Lonchura striata: one gene and its partners. The protein of the gene in region 2 binds, or shares a complex with, the protein of the main gene of each other region. Links are inferred from orthologs where the notes say so. Each region holds a gene or a part of one and is shown on either strand. Other genes may lie near its edges.

What was found.
Region 1: TRMT112 (region 2) and THUMPD2 share a complex: the UniProt entries of both Homo sapiens proteins name them as parts of the heterodimeric THUMPD2-TRM112 methyltransferase complex. The link is inferred for Lonchura striata from reciprocal best matches to the Homo sapiens genes TRMT112 and THUMPD2.
Region 3: the proteins of TRMT112 (region 2) and METTL5 are in contact, whole or in part, in a crystal structure (PDB 6H2V), measured with the Homo sapiens proteins. The link is inferred for Lonchura striata from reciprocal best matches to the Homo sapiens genes TRMT112 and METTL5. Residues at the interface, in NP_001359000.1 of Homo sapiens: Met1, Lys2, Leu4, Thr5, Leu8, Leu9, Ser10, Ser11, His12, Phe21, Pro22, Leu23, Pro34, Val35, Asn38, Asn40, Phe41, Arg44, Met45, Lys48, Glu92, Arg111, Gly112, Ile113, Pro114, Asn115, Met116, Leu117; in NP_001280115.1 of Homo sapiens: Asn52, Lys53, Val54, Gly75, Leu76, Val78, Ile82, Leu87, Asn91, Thr100, Ile102, Asp103, Met104, Val105, Gln106, Cys107, Asp108, Asn114, Arg115, Met116, Ser119, Phe120, Asp121, Arg150.

What each region holds. Positions count from the first base shown.
Region 1 is NC_134603.1:379,260-383,009, reverse strand, and holds the start of THUMPD2 (U6 snRNA (guanine-N(2))-methyltransferase THUMPD2), read left to right. Parts: upstream 1-1,470; 5' UTR 1,471-1,941; intron 1,942-3,750. Other genes in the region: MAPK15 (mitogen-activated protein kinase 15), read right to left, coding at 1,337-1,405. UniProt on the Homo sapiens protein: Catalytic subunit of the THUMPD2-TRM112 methyltransferase complex, that specifically mediates the S-adenosyl-L-methionine-dependent N(2)-methylation of guanosine nucleotides, most probably at position 72 (m2G72), in the U6snRNA of the major spliceosome.
Region 2 is NC_134638.1:1,912,883-1,916,632, forward strand, and holds the start of TRMT112 (multifunctional methyltransferase subunit TRM112-like protein), read left to right. Parts: upstream 1-1,485; 5' UTR 1,486-1,576; coding exon 1,577-1,657; intron 1,658-2,732; coding exon 2,733-2,834; intron 2,835-3,750. UniProt on the Homo sapiens protein: Acts as an activator of both rRNA/tRNA and protein methyltransferases. Together with methyltransferase BUD23, methylates the N(7) position of a guanine in 18S rRNA.
Region 3 is NC_134610.1:19,743,739-19,747,488, forward strand, and holds the start of METTL5 (rRNA N(6)-adenosine-methyltransferase METTL5), read right to left. Parts: upstream 2,708-3,750; 5' UTR 2,630-2,707; intron 2,598-2,629; exon of another isoform or gene 2,277-2,597; 5' UTR 2,264-2,276; coding exon 2,155-2,263; intron 1,511-2,154; coding exon 1,396-1,510; intron 991-1,395; coding exon 809-990; intron 435-808; coding exon 352-434; intron 70-351; coding exon 18-69; intron 1-17. UniProt on the Homo sapiens protein: Catalytic subunit of a heterodimer with TRMT112, which specifically methylates the 6th position of adenine in position 1832 of 18S rRNA.

The DNA of each region.
Region 1 (3,750 bases), on a different chromosome or scaffold from region 2:
TAAGATGGATGGAGAGAGACTTTTTACCAAAGTCTGTATTGACAGCATCCCAGAATTGTTGAGGTTGGAAAAGCCCTCCAAAACCACTGGGTCCAACCACTAACATAGCACTGTCAGGTCCAACACTAAACCTTTTTTTCAATTAAAAGCTGTGTTGTCTGTTAAGGGAACGGGAACTTCTATCTGAGGTTTCCCTATTCTGGATGACTGTGATACTTGCAAATGATGATTACTCAGTCTCACTTGTGGTATAGATCCAGTGTTTTTATTTTAGGCCATAGATTTTAATCTGGACTTTCCACAGCCTAGGAATTATTATACCTTTGCACAAAGGGATCACATCCCACTCAAAAAATGCCCATTTAATGTTTAAGTACTTATCCAAAGCAAAATAACTGCAATGTATGATTCTAGTGATTAAACACTCATGTAAGGACACCAAAGCAGGCTTCCCAGCAACATGTGTGGTCCTGGAACTTGGCACCAGGACCTTTGCCACGCATCAGGCAATATAAACAGTTGTACAAGTACCTTGGGTAAGTGCTACAATACCACCCTACTGGCAACTGGGAAACAACCTCAAGTTGTGCCAGGGGAGGCTGAGGTTGGGTATTGGAAAAATCTCTCCTGCAAAGGGCTGTGCAGCTCTGGAACAGACTGCCCCAGGGCAGGGGGAAGTCCCCATTCCTGGGGGGAGTTAACAGCCACGTGGATGTGGCACCCGGGGACAGGGGTCAGTGGCAGCCTTGTCAGTGCTGGGAGAGTGGCTGGACTCCACAGGCTCAGAGGGCTTTTCCACCTCAGTGACTCCTTGACTCTGAACATAATGAGGGAAATACTTAAACATTTAAATACGTATCAACGCAATTAATGATAGCAAAGAGCTGCCGGAATAGAAAAGTAGATAACTCAGGAGGGCTTAGAGACTGCCTCAGGAGACATATCTTAGAAATTACCACTGGCTTATGTATAAAAATACATTTTATGGCGAAGACATTACTTGATGCAGCATGACCTGAAATGATGGGGTTACAGTAAATGTAGGATTTGGCAGGCACAGAAAGAATGTACTTTGAGACAGATACATGTTACTATTTAATTTTACAGTCCCCTGGAGCTCCCAGCGGGCCCTGAGCGACAGAGTTCCCACGGACGCCTGAACTCCCAAATACCCCCTCAGCACCCCGGGGCCGCCTGGAGCCCTCACGGTGCCCTGAACGCCACACGGGCCTCCCGAGCTCTCAAGGGCCCTCCGAGCTCCGGAACCATTCCAGCTCCCACAGGGCACCCCAGCTCGGCCCGGCCCCGGCCAGGCCAACCCCCGCCAGGCACTCACCCCCTTGCCCAGCCGCCTCTTGATCTCGTATTTGCGGCACACGAGCGGCTCCACCTCGGGCGGGCTCATGGCGGCACCTCCCTGTTGGCACCCGCTGCCATGGCAACGGCACCGCGCACCGTGCATGCGCGCACCGCCGCGGGGCGCGGCAGGCGGCGCCGAGAGACCGGGAGCTGAGGGAGGAGAAGGAGCGGGGAGAGGTGAGGCGAGAGGAGAAAAGAGAGAGAGGAGAAAAGAGAGAGGAGAGAGAAGTAAGGAGAGAGGAGAAAGGAAAGAGGAGACAGGAGACAGGAGAAGGAGCAGGGAGAGCCCCTTCCAGGACTCTGGGAGAGCCGGAGAGAGGTTTGGCACACGGGCCTGGAGGACATCGCAAGGGGAATGGCTTCCCACTGCCGGAGGGCAGGGTGGGATCTCGGGAAGAAATCCTTCCTTGGGAGGGTGGGCAGGCCCTGGCACAGGTGCCCAGAGCAGCTCTGGCTGCCCCTGGGTCCCTGGCAGTGCCCAAGGCCAGGCTAGACGGGGCTTGGAGCAGCCTGGGAACAGTGGAAGGTGTCCCTGCCCTGGCAGGTTGATGGGACTGGACAAGCTTTAAGGTCCGTTCCAAGGTAAACATTCCGAGATTGAATTATACTTCTTTGGTTTTTTCCCCCGTGAATTTTGATTCTTCCTCCCTACCCCTCCCCCCCCTCCCCCCCCCCCCCAGTTCCAACTTTTGTGATGAGGCTAAAGTTTATAAGTTTATTTAATGACACTTTTCAGTGAGAGTTAACACTTTTGTCATGTTCTCTAGAGCTTTGCTTTTTACTTTGTGTTTTATAGCAGATAGAGAAGATTTCTGATCCATGTCCAAATTAGATGGTTGAAATCAAAATTGACAAGCTGAACGCACTCACTAGATACTATGTTGTGACTTTTTTAAAGTGAGGATATGAATATGATTTAGTGTAATGGATTTGTATGACTGTAAATGTTTCTTTGAGATTCGACTTCAGTTTTATTAGTGAACTGGCATCTTCAGTCATGCAGGGATTTGGATTGCTGGTGTATGCTTCCCTCACTGACATAATGCATTTTTTGTGGAAGTTTCCTTTATATAATAATGAATTCTGACTCTTACAAAGAGACTTATTCCTCTCAGGCTATGATTTTTAAGAAATTGCATTCAGTTTAGTTTTAAATGTTAATTTAGGATTCCTGAAGGAACTCACTAATTCCTTTAGGCTGTATTGTTTATGTCTAACAGGATACATTTATCAGCCTTATCCTGCTCATAGAGACATAAAATGTGTGTGTATGCACTTAGCAGCAGACACCGAAGTTCAAGTCTGAGTTGTGACAATTGTTGATTAGATTGTGGACAGCTGGGGACAATTGTGACTTAGTTGTGTTGTCCTGTGGATGATGGCGATGAGAAGAACCCTTGTATGAGCTTATTGTATGAGCTTATTCTCAAGTTTCTATTTCTGTATTAATTTGATGTTTAAATTTTATTTAGAGAGGACACTTTAGAGATGAAACTTTAACCTATTGTAGTAAAATTTCCTGGATTGTTAAAGATTATGCATTTTAGAGCAGGATTTGTGTGGTGACTTTTCTGTTGTTTTTTTTTTTTCTCCTGGGTAAGCCTTTAAACAGTCCAGAAAATATTTCTGTATTTAAATATATTGAACTAAGTAAGAACAATACAATCTAATGTTTTCACACCTGTTGGCTGTTTATTAAATACCATCATGGAGAGGGGGTGGGTGCTAATTTACACTTTCATTATATTTTTCATTCCTCTTACATTATTTGAGTCTTGTCTGTTGAATAACTGTATGAAAATATTAAATAAGTAATTCTCAGACATTTATGCTGAAAGCTTTTCCATGAGAATCTTGAGTGTTTCTGTCTTCTCCAAACGCTTCAGTTCCTTCTGATTGCATATGGCATTTGCAGACTCCAGATAAAAGCTCTGTTCTCCGTTAGTAATTCCCAAATTACTAATTCTCACACAGATTTAGCTGACAATCAAGGTTAAAAACAACTTCTCAGAAGTAGAAGACTGTTCAAGTCTGTGCTGTCCTATTTGACAAAAGAGCATGTTACTTAAAGAGCAGCATGGATTTATCTAGGGAGCGACTTAAGAATTTTTAATTCATTTTTAAATTTTATTTTGTTTAGGTCATTTTTAATTTAGTCTACTGAGTGAATAAGGATGTTATGCAGTGTCAATCTAAGTCTATTTTGTAAATTAAGTGAGGTAAATGCTAGTGCTAGCTTTTTATTATATGCAATGAAACAGGAGCCACTGTGTAAAGCAATGTATTTTGTATTGCAAAACTCTGGATACTGACCTCAAATATACTGCTTTTATAACTTGCTGATGTCTAATTTTAGTCTAGTAGGGAAAAATCCCAGTTTCTTCATCTAAT
Region 2 (3,750 bases):
ATGTATTTTTAATTTATATTTACTATTTTTATAGCCATTTTATTCTTATTAGATTTATAAAAATTTAAAAATTTTTCACAGGGTTTTTCCTTATTTCTGCAACTCCGTTTTTGGGGGTTTCTCTTTGATTTCTGGGGGGATTGGGATCCCCCTGTGAAAAATGTGAATTTTATGATTGGTTTTTTGCAAATATTAAAATGAATATTACACGAGTAATTAATTCTCTTCAGGAGCGCATTAAATATGTTTTCAGGTTTATAAAACCTCCAATCACTTGGTTTTTAAAAATTTAAAAGCTTAATAATGAAGCGCTTATTAAAAAAGACAATCATTTGCTTTTTATCATCTGGTAATTGCCCTAACTCTAAGTATTTTATTAGTGTAATTGCATTACTATTTTTATAGTATTTTTATATATTTTTAATTTCTATTTACTATTTTCATAGCCATTTTATTACTGTTAGATTTATGAAATTTTAAAGATTTTTCACAGGGTGTTTCCTTATCTCCGCAACTTCGTTTTTGGGGTTTCTCTTTGATTTCTGGGGGTGTTGGGAATAAATAAATTGAATTTGTGCCCCCGCCTTTGTCTCTGATTTGGGTTGGATTTGGGGGCCTCAAGGAGGGTTTAATGAATTGTAGTTAATTTTAAATAATTTTAATTGATTTTAACTAGCTTTAATGAATTTTAAATAATTTAAAATATTTTAATGAATTTTAAATATTTTTAAATAATTTTAAATAATTTGAAGTTATTTTAATGAATTTTAAATCGTTTTAATTGGCTTATATGAATTGTAATTAATTTTACATTACTTTAATAAATTTTAATTAATTTTAAATAATTTTAATTAATTTTATATAGTTTTAATGAATTTTAAATAATTTAAAATATTTTTAATTATTTTAAAATAATTTTAATTAATTTTTCATAATTTTAAATATTTTTAATTAATTTTATCCAGTTTTAATTAATTTTAATTAAGTTTTAATAACTTTGATTAATTTTAAATAACCTTAATTAATTTAAAATAATTTTAAATATTTAAAATTTTTTAAAATAAGTTTAATTAATTTTAATTAACTTTAATTAATTTTAAATAACTTTAATTAATTTTAAATAATTTAAAATATTTTTATTTAGCTTTAAATAGTTTTAATTAATTTTAAATAATCTTAAATATTTTTAATTATTTTAAAATAATTTTAATTAATTTTAAAGTTTTCATTAATTTAAAATAATTTAATTTTTTAAAATTAATATTAAATAATTTTAACTAATTTTAAATAGCTTAAACTAATTTTAATTAACTTTAATACATTTTAAATATTTTTAATTTATTCTAAACAGTTTAAATGAATTTTAAATGATTTTAAACATTTTCAATTAATTTCAAATAATTCTAATTAATTTTAAATCATTTCAATCGATTCTAATCACTTTCCTGTCTCTGCCCCTTTAAGCCAACCCCACCCTCCAGGCCACGCCCACTTCCGGGTTGGCAGCGTCCCGTTGCCGTGGCAACCGCGCGCCTTTCCTGGCCGGAAGTGACGCGCCGGAAGCGGAAGAGGCGCCATGAAGCTGCTGACCCACAACCTGCTGAGCTCCCACGTGCCGGGGCTGCGGCCCGGGGGCGGCTTCCCCCTGAGGATCGAGGTACGGGGGGCTCCCGTTATCCCCGTTCCGCTATCCCAGTCCCCGTTATCCCGGTTCCTTCCCGTTATCCCAGTCCCGTTATCCCATTCCCCGTTATCCCAGTCCCCGTTATCCCAGTTCCCGTTATCCCATTCCCCGTTATCCCAGTCCCGTTATCCCAGTCCCGTTATGCCATTCCCCGTTATCCCATTCCCCGTTATCCCCTTCCCGTTATCCCAGTCTCGTTATCCCATTCCCCGTTATCCCAGTCCCGTTATCCCATTCCCCGTTATCCCAGTCCCGTTATCCCCGTTCCGCTATCCCAGTCCCCGTTATCCCGGTTCCTTCCCGTTATCCTAGTCCCGTTATCCCGTTCCGTTATCCCCTCCCGTTATCCCGGTTCCTTCCCGTTATCCCGTTCCGTTATCCCAGTCCCCGTTATCCCGGTTCCTTCCCGTTATCCCAGTCCCGTTATCCCAGTTCCGTTATCCCAGTCCCCGTTATCCCATTCCCGTTATCCCATTCCCCGTTATCCCAGTCCCGTTATCCCAGTCCTGTTATCCCAGTCCCCGTTATCTCATCCCCGTTATCCCAGTCCTGTTATCCCAGTCCCCGTTACCCCATTCCCGTTATCCCAGTCCCGTTATCCCAGTCCCGTTATCCCAGTCCCCGTTATCCCAGTTCCCGTTACCCCAGTCCCGTTATCCCAGTCCCCGTTATCCCAGTCCCGTTATCCCAGTCCCCGTTATCCCAGTTCCCGTTACCCCAGTCCCCGTTATCCCACTTCCGTTAATCCCTAATGAACCCTGTTAACCCCTAATTAACCCCTAATGAACCCTGTTAACCCCTAATTAACCCCTAATGAACCCCATTAACCCCTAATGAGCCTCGTTAACTCCTAATTAACCCCTAATGAACCCCATTAACCCCTAATGAGCCCCGTTAACCCCTAATTAACCCCTAATGAACCCCGTTAACCCCTAATGAGCCCCGTTAACCCCTAATTAACCCCTAATTAACCCTGTTAACCCCTGATGAGCCCCGTTAACCCCTAATTAACCCCTAACGAGCCCGTTCAGCCCGTGGTTGCCCGCAGGCCGCCGAGGTGCGGGAGCGCCCGGTGCCGTTCAACGCCGCCTTCGTGTCCCGCCTGGTGCCGCGGCTGCGCTGGGACGCGCTGAGGGAGGCGGCCGAGAGCGTGAGCGGAACGGGAACGGCGGGGATAACGGGAGTGACGGGAGTGACAACGGGAATGACGGGAGTGACAACGGGAGTGACAACGGGAGTGACAGGGATACCGGGAGTGACGGGGATAACGGGGATAACGGGAGTGACGGGAGTGACAACGGGAGTGACGGGAATGACAATGGGAATGACGGGAGTGACGGGAGTGACAACGGGAGTGACAACGGGAGTGACAGGAATGACAACGGGAATGACGGGAGTGACGGGGATACCGGGAGTGACGGGAATGACGGGAGTGACAACGGGAGTGACGGGGATGACAATGGGAATGACGGGAGTGACTGGAGTGACAACGGGAGTGACGGGAGTGACGGGAATAACGGGAGTGACGGGGATAACGGGAGTGACAGGGATAACGGGAGTGACAGGGATAACGGGAGTGACAGGAATGACAATGGGAATGACGGGAGTGACAACGGGAGTGACAGGAGTGACAACGGGAGTGACAACGGGAGTGACAGGGATACCGGGAGTGACGGGGATAACGGGAGTGACGGGAGTGACAACGGGAGTGATGGGAATGATGGGGATAACGGGAGAGATGGGAATGACGGGAGTGACGGGAATGATGGGAGTGACGGGGATAACGGGAGTGACGGGGATGACGGGGATAACGGGAGTGACGGGGATAACGGGAGAGATGGGAATGACGGGAGTGATGGGAAAGGGGAATGACGGGAATGGGGAATGGGAACGGGAATAACGGGAATGGGGAACGGGGAAACGAGAAGGGGAATGGGAATGGGAATGGGAACGGGAAATGGGGAACGGGAATAACGGGAATGGGAACGGGGACAGGAATAACGGGAACGGGAATAATGGGAATGGGAAAGGGGATGGGAATAACGGGGACGGGGAACGGGAATGTG
Region 3 (3,750 bases), on a different chromosome or scaffold from region 2:
TTAAAAATAAGTATTACCTGCTAAGACTTCCATCTTCACTTCCCATTCTGCTGCTTTCTTTTGGATGTGCTACAATAGTAGATAGTGTAAAAATGAGCTTTTTAAATTATCTTTTATAAACATCTACACCTTTGGACTTAATCAGTCTCCTGTGCTTTTAATTTTCAAGCCAAAGCATTAAATCATGTAATTATCTTGATGTATGTGAGATTGTAGTTACTTGATGTAAATAGTATTTATCCCAAACATAACCCACAAAGTAGCTGGCAAATCAGTGAAGCTACAGACCTCTATATAGCCAAATATTTTGTTGTCTGGTTAGTTCTTGCCCTACTAAAATGAAGAACTTACCTGTCGTGTTGAAGTTTTGTGAAGGGAATATACAGCTGTTTTTGCCATTTGTAGAGCAGTTTTCAGAAAAATCATATCAATTCCTAAAAGAATAATGAAACTATTAGAATTGTTAAATGAAAGCTCAAAGACCTGCTTAATTTTTTCTGGAATAATAGCTACTTGAGAAACAGCACTGAATACATTAAGGTACAGGAAATATTTCTAAAATATACTCAATTGCTTTTAATAAAATAAAAATGATAGGGATTCAAAATACCTAGTATTGTTTATTTCAAGCCCCAGTGACTGTTAGTTACAATGCTGAAGTTGCTAATCTTAGGAAGCCAATTCCAGATAAACAAAACATTAAGAAATTAGAATATGCAACTAATAAAGAAGGGAGATGTTTCACTGAAAGCATTTCCCTTGCTGTTTCATTTGTGTTGATTTCTAACTGAGCTTCACAATTACCAACCTTTGTTATGCTTGGTACCAAAAGGAGGATTCATAATAACTGTGTCAAAAGTATCTGACATGCTGTCAGATAAAGAACAGATGTCACACTGAACCATGTTGACATTTGTGAGATCAAAGTCTTCAATATTGCTATTAAATGTTTCCAGTGCATCTCCATCTATGTCAAGCCCCACACAGAATCTATTAAGAAAAGTGTCACATATTAGTCTACTACAAACTACAATGGCGTTAAAATTCTACAGTAAGTAAACACAACTTGTTTTATCTAGGAAATGTAACAAGTATACGTAATAAATTCAGTGCTGATAAAAATTCAAGTACTTCTGTTGCCCTTTCCCAAGTATATATCTAAATTTGTTAAGGAAGTTTAATGTGTTCATGTAATGCTTATGGGGAAGCAAATGACTTCCAAATTCATGACAGATGTCCATCACTTTCATGGTATGAATGGTGATTGATGGTTGAAACTTGGTACCACATAATAAACCGGAAATATTTTAGTTCAGCATTGCTACTCTTTAATCTTACTTTCTACTTTTCTATGACAGAAAGAAATATAACCAGAACTTAATATTAAATACTTACCCTGCTCCTAACATTGCACTTCCAATGCTGAGCATGCCACAACCACATCCTAAATCTGCAATTGTTTTGTTTTCAATATCGTCAAAAGTATTGTGAATTGTATAAAGCATACATGCTGGGGGAAAAAAATCCCAAATAAAACAGGTCAATAATGCCAAATATGTACATGATTAGTCAAGAAAAACTGTTTCTACCTTCAGAAAACTTAATTTTGCATTATAAACCCCCTTTACTTAAACTGATATTCTCTCTTTTCCATTTATATGTGAAGAATCAAAAACATTTTTATGAGTTACAGACTATGGATCTTTGGTGGAGAGATAGAACTCTGAGTATTGCTTGTGGAAAAAGTATGCCTCTAAATGTTTTGGGGGAAAAACAATATAAGGATTTAAAATATGGAAAAGAGCATGATTAAGGTATAGATGAGTGTATAGTGTATATACCCTAAAGTGACTATACACTTTTACTAGTTTTGCAGGCCATGACATAACTCCATTTCAGCTTCAGATTGGTTCTATCACAACATTATCTATTAGATTAATTTATTTTATTTTTGGATTGGACATTGTCCTAGGTTGCATTTTTCATACAAAGACAGGCATTACCAGAATACTACTATACACATTCCTGTTGGATATACTTTCTTAACTACTTTTAGTATAAAGCCTGCAAAGGAGACAATGCAGTAGAAAAAACTTTTTGAATGAAAAGTGATGAACTAGTAAAAGAGAAAACAATGGTGTGGATCACCTCTACCTGCAATATGAGGTCTTGTTGGATACTGTTCAAGGAGTAGTTTTGGACTTTCAAAAGTATCAACTTGTTGAAGACAGCTTTCCAGTTCTTTAAGCTTTAATTTCTTCATGTTTATGTTTTAACTGAAGAAAATAACGTGTAATCAGTTACAGCAATATAAATAAACTACGTATAATATTAAATTATTTCATACTTAAAATCCCCTGGTACTCTTCAGCCTCTCCCGGGCGTTTTCACGGTGCCGTTTCTCGGGACGCAGCTGGCGGGGCATCGATGATGGGGAACGAGGGCAGCCCTTCTCCTCACCGGCTGCCGGAGTTCGGGCCCTGGGCTCCGTTTCTACCGCTCAGGCCCGCCCGCCGCTCAGCCCTAAGCGGGGCAGGAGCCGAGCCCCAGCGACCGCCACCACCCGCACCGTCGGCTCGCCCACAGCGCCGTCTCCCCGCCGGCGCCCGCTCGGTACCGCGCCACTCACCGCGGCTCGGCCGGGCCGCTCCGAGCTCCGGCCGCCGCCGCGCACTTCCGACGCGCCGCCCGCCCCCGGCGCGCCCCGCCCCCGGCGCGCCCCGCCCCGGCGCGCCCCGCCCCGGCGCGCCCCGCCCCGGCGCGCCCCGCCCCGGCGCGCCCCGCCCCGGCGCGCCCCGCCCCGGCGCGCCCCGCCCCGGCGCGCCCCGCCCCGGCGCGCCCCGCCCCGGCGCGCCCCGCCCCGGCGCGCCCCGCCCCGGCGCGCCCCGCCCCGGCGCGCCCCGCCCCGGCGCGCCCCGCCCCGGCGCGCCCCGCCCCGGCGCGCCCCGCCCCGGCGCGCCCCGCCCCGCCCCTTCCCGGGCTGATGGGCACCCGCGGGAACCAAACGCCAGCGAGCTTCCCCGCGTCTCGTTAAAATTTAAGAGCTTTGGTCTCATATGTTATAAACACCAGACATTTTATTGCAGCCTTACGTGTCACGGCTGAGCGGTGCCTGAAAAAGCGCCGGGGGACACACCTGGCAGACCGGGCTTTCTCGGTGGTCCCACTCCCGAGTGCCCTTAGGGACACAACAAGGAACTGGAATTTTGCTGGTGGGCTGGGAAAAGCGGTCGTGCCGAGAAGAGTAACATTCACCTGGAACCGCAACGCGACACAAGCCGCCAGCAGACGGGCAGCCATAGGAAACGCAGGCAAAGCCAGAAGAGAGGCAGCTGCCTTGAGGCCCGTAGCTGTCGGGTTACTCTCATTTAGGAATAGATTTTTTCGTATAAGGCTTTCCGTTGCACTGTTGAAAATCTATTTATCGAGGTTTAAAACCGCCGATCGTTGTACGAAACACGGTAACTCGCATCCACGTGCGTTCTCTCCTGGTAGCAGGACGCCGGTACCTCGGGGCGCGGCTCCGCAGACACCCCGGGGTGCGGTGCTGCTGCTCGGCACCCCCGGCACCCCGCTCGATGGCAGCGAGGGCAGAACCGCCGGCCCGAAGCCTCAGAGGTGCCTTCCACACTCCCCGCAGTTGCTCCTGCCCTCAAAGCCGCCGCCACCACCTGAGCCCGGCGAGATCCTTGTGGCCAGGATACCCGGGCGGCCGCAGGGCGTCTCCCGGCAGCCGCTTCGCTGCAGGCA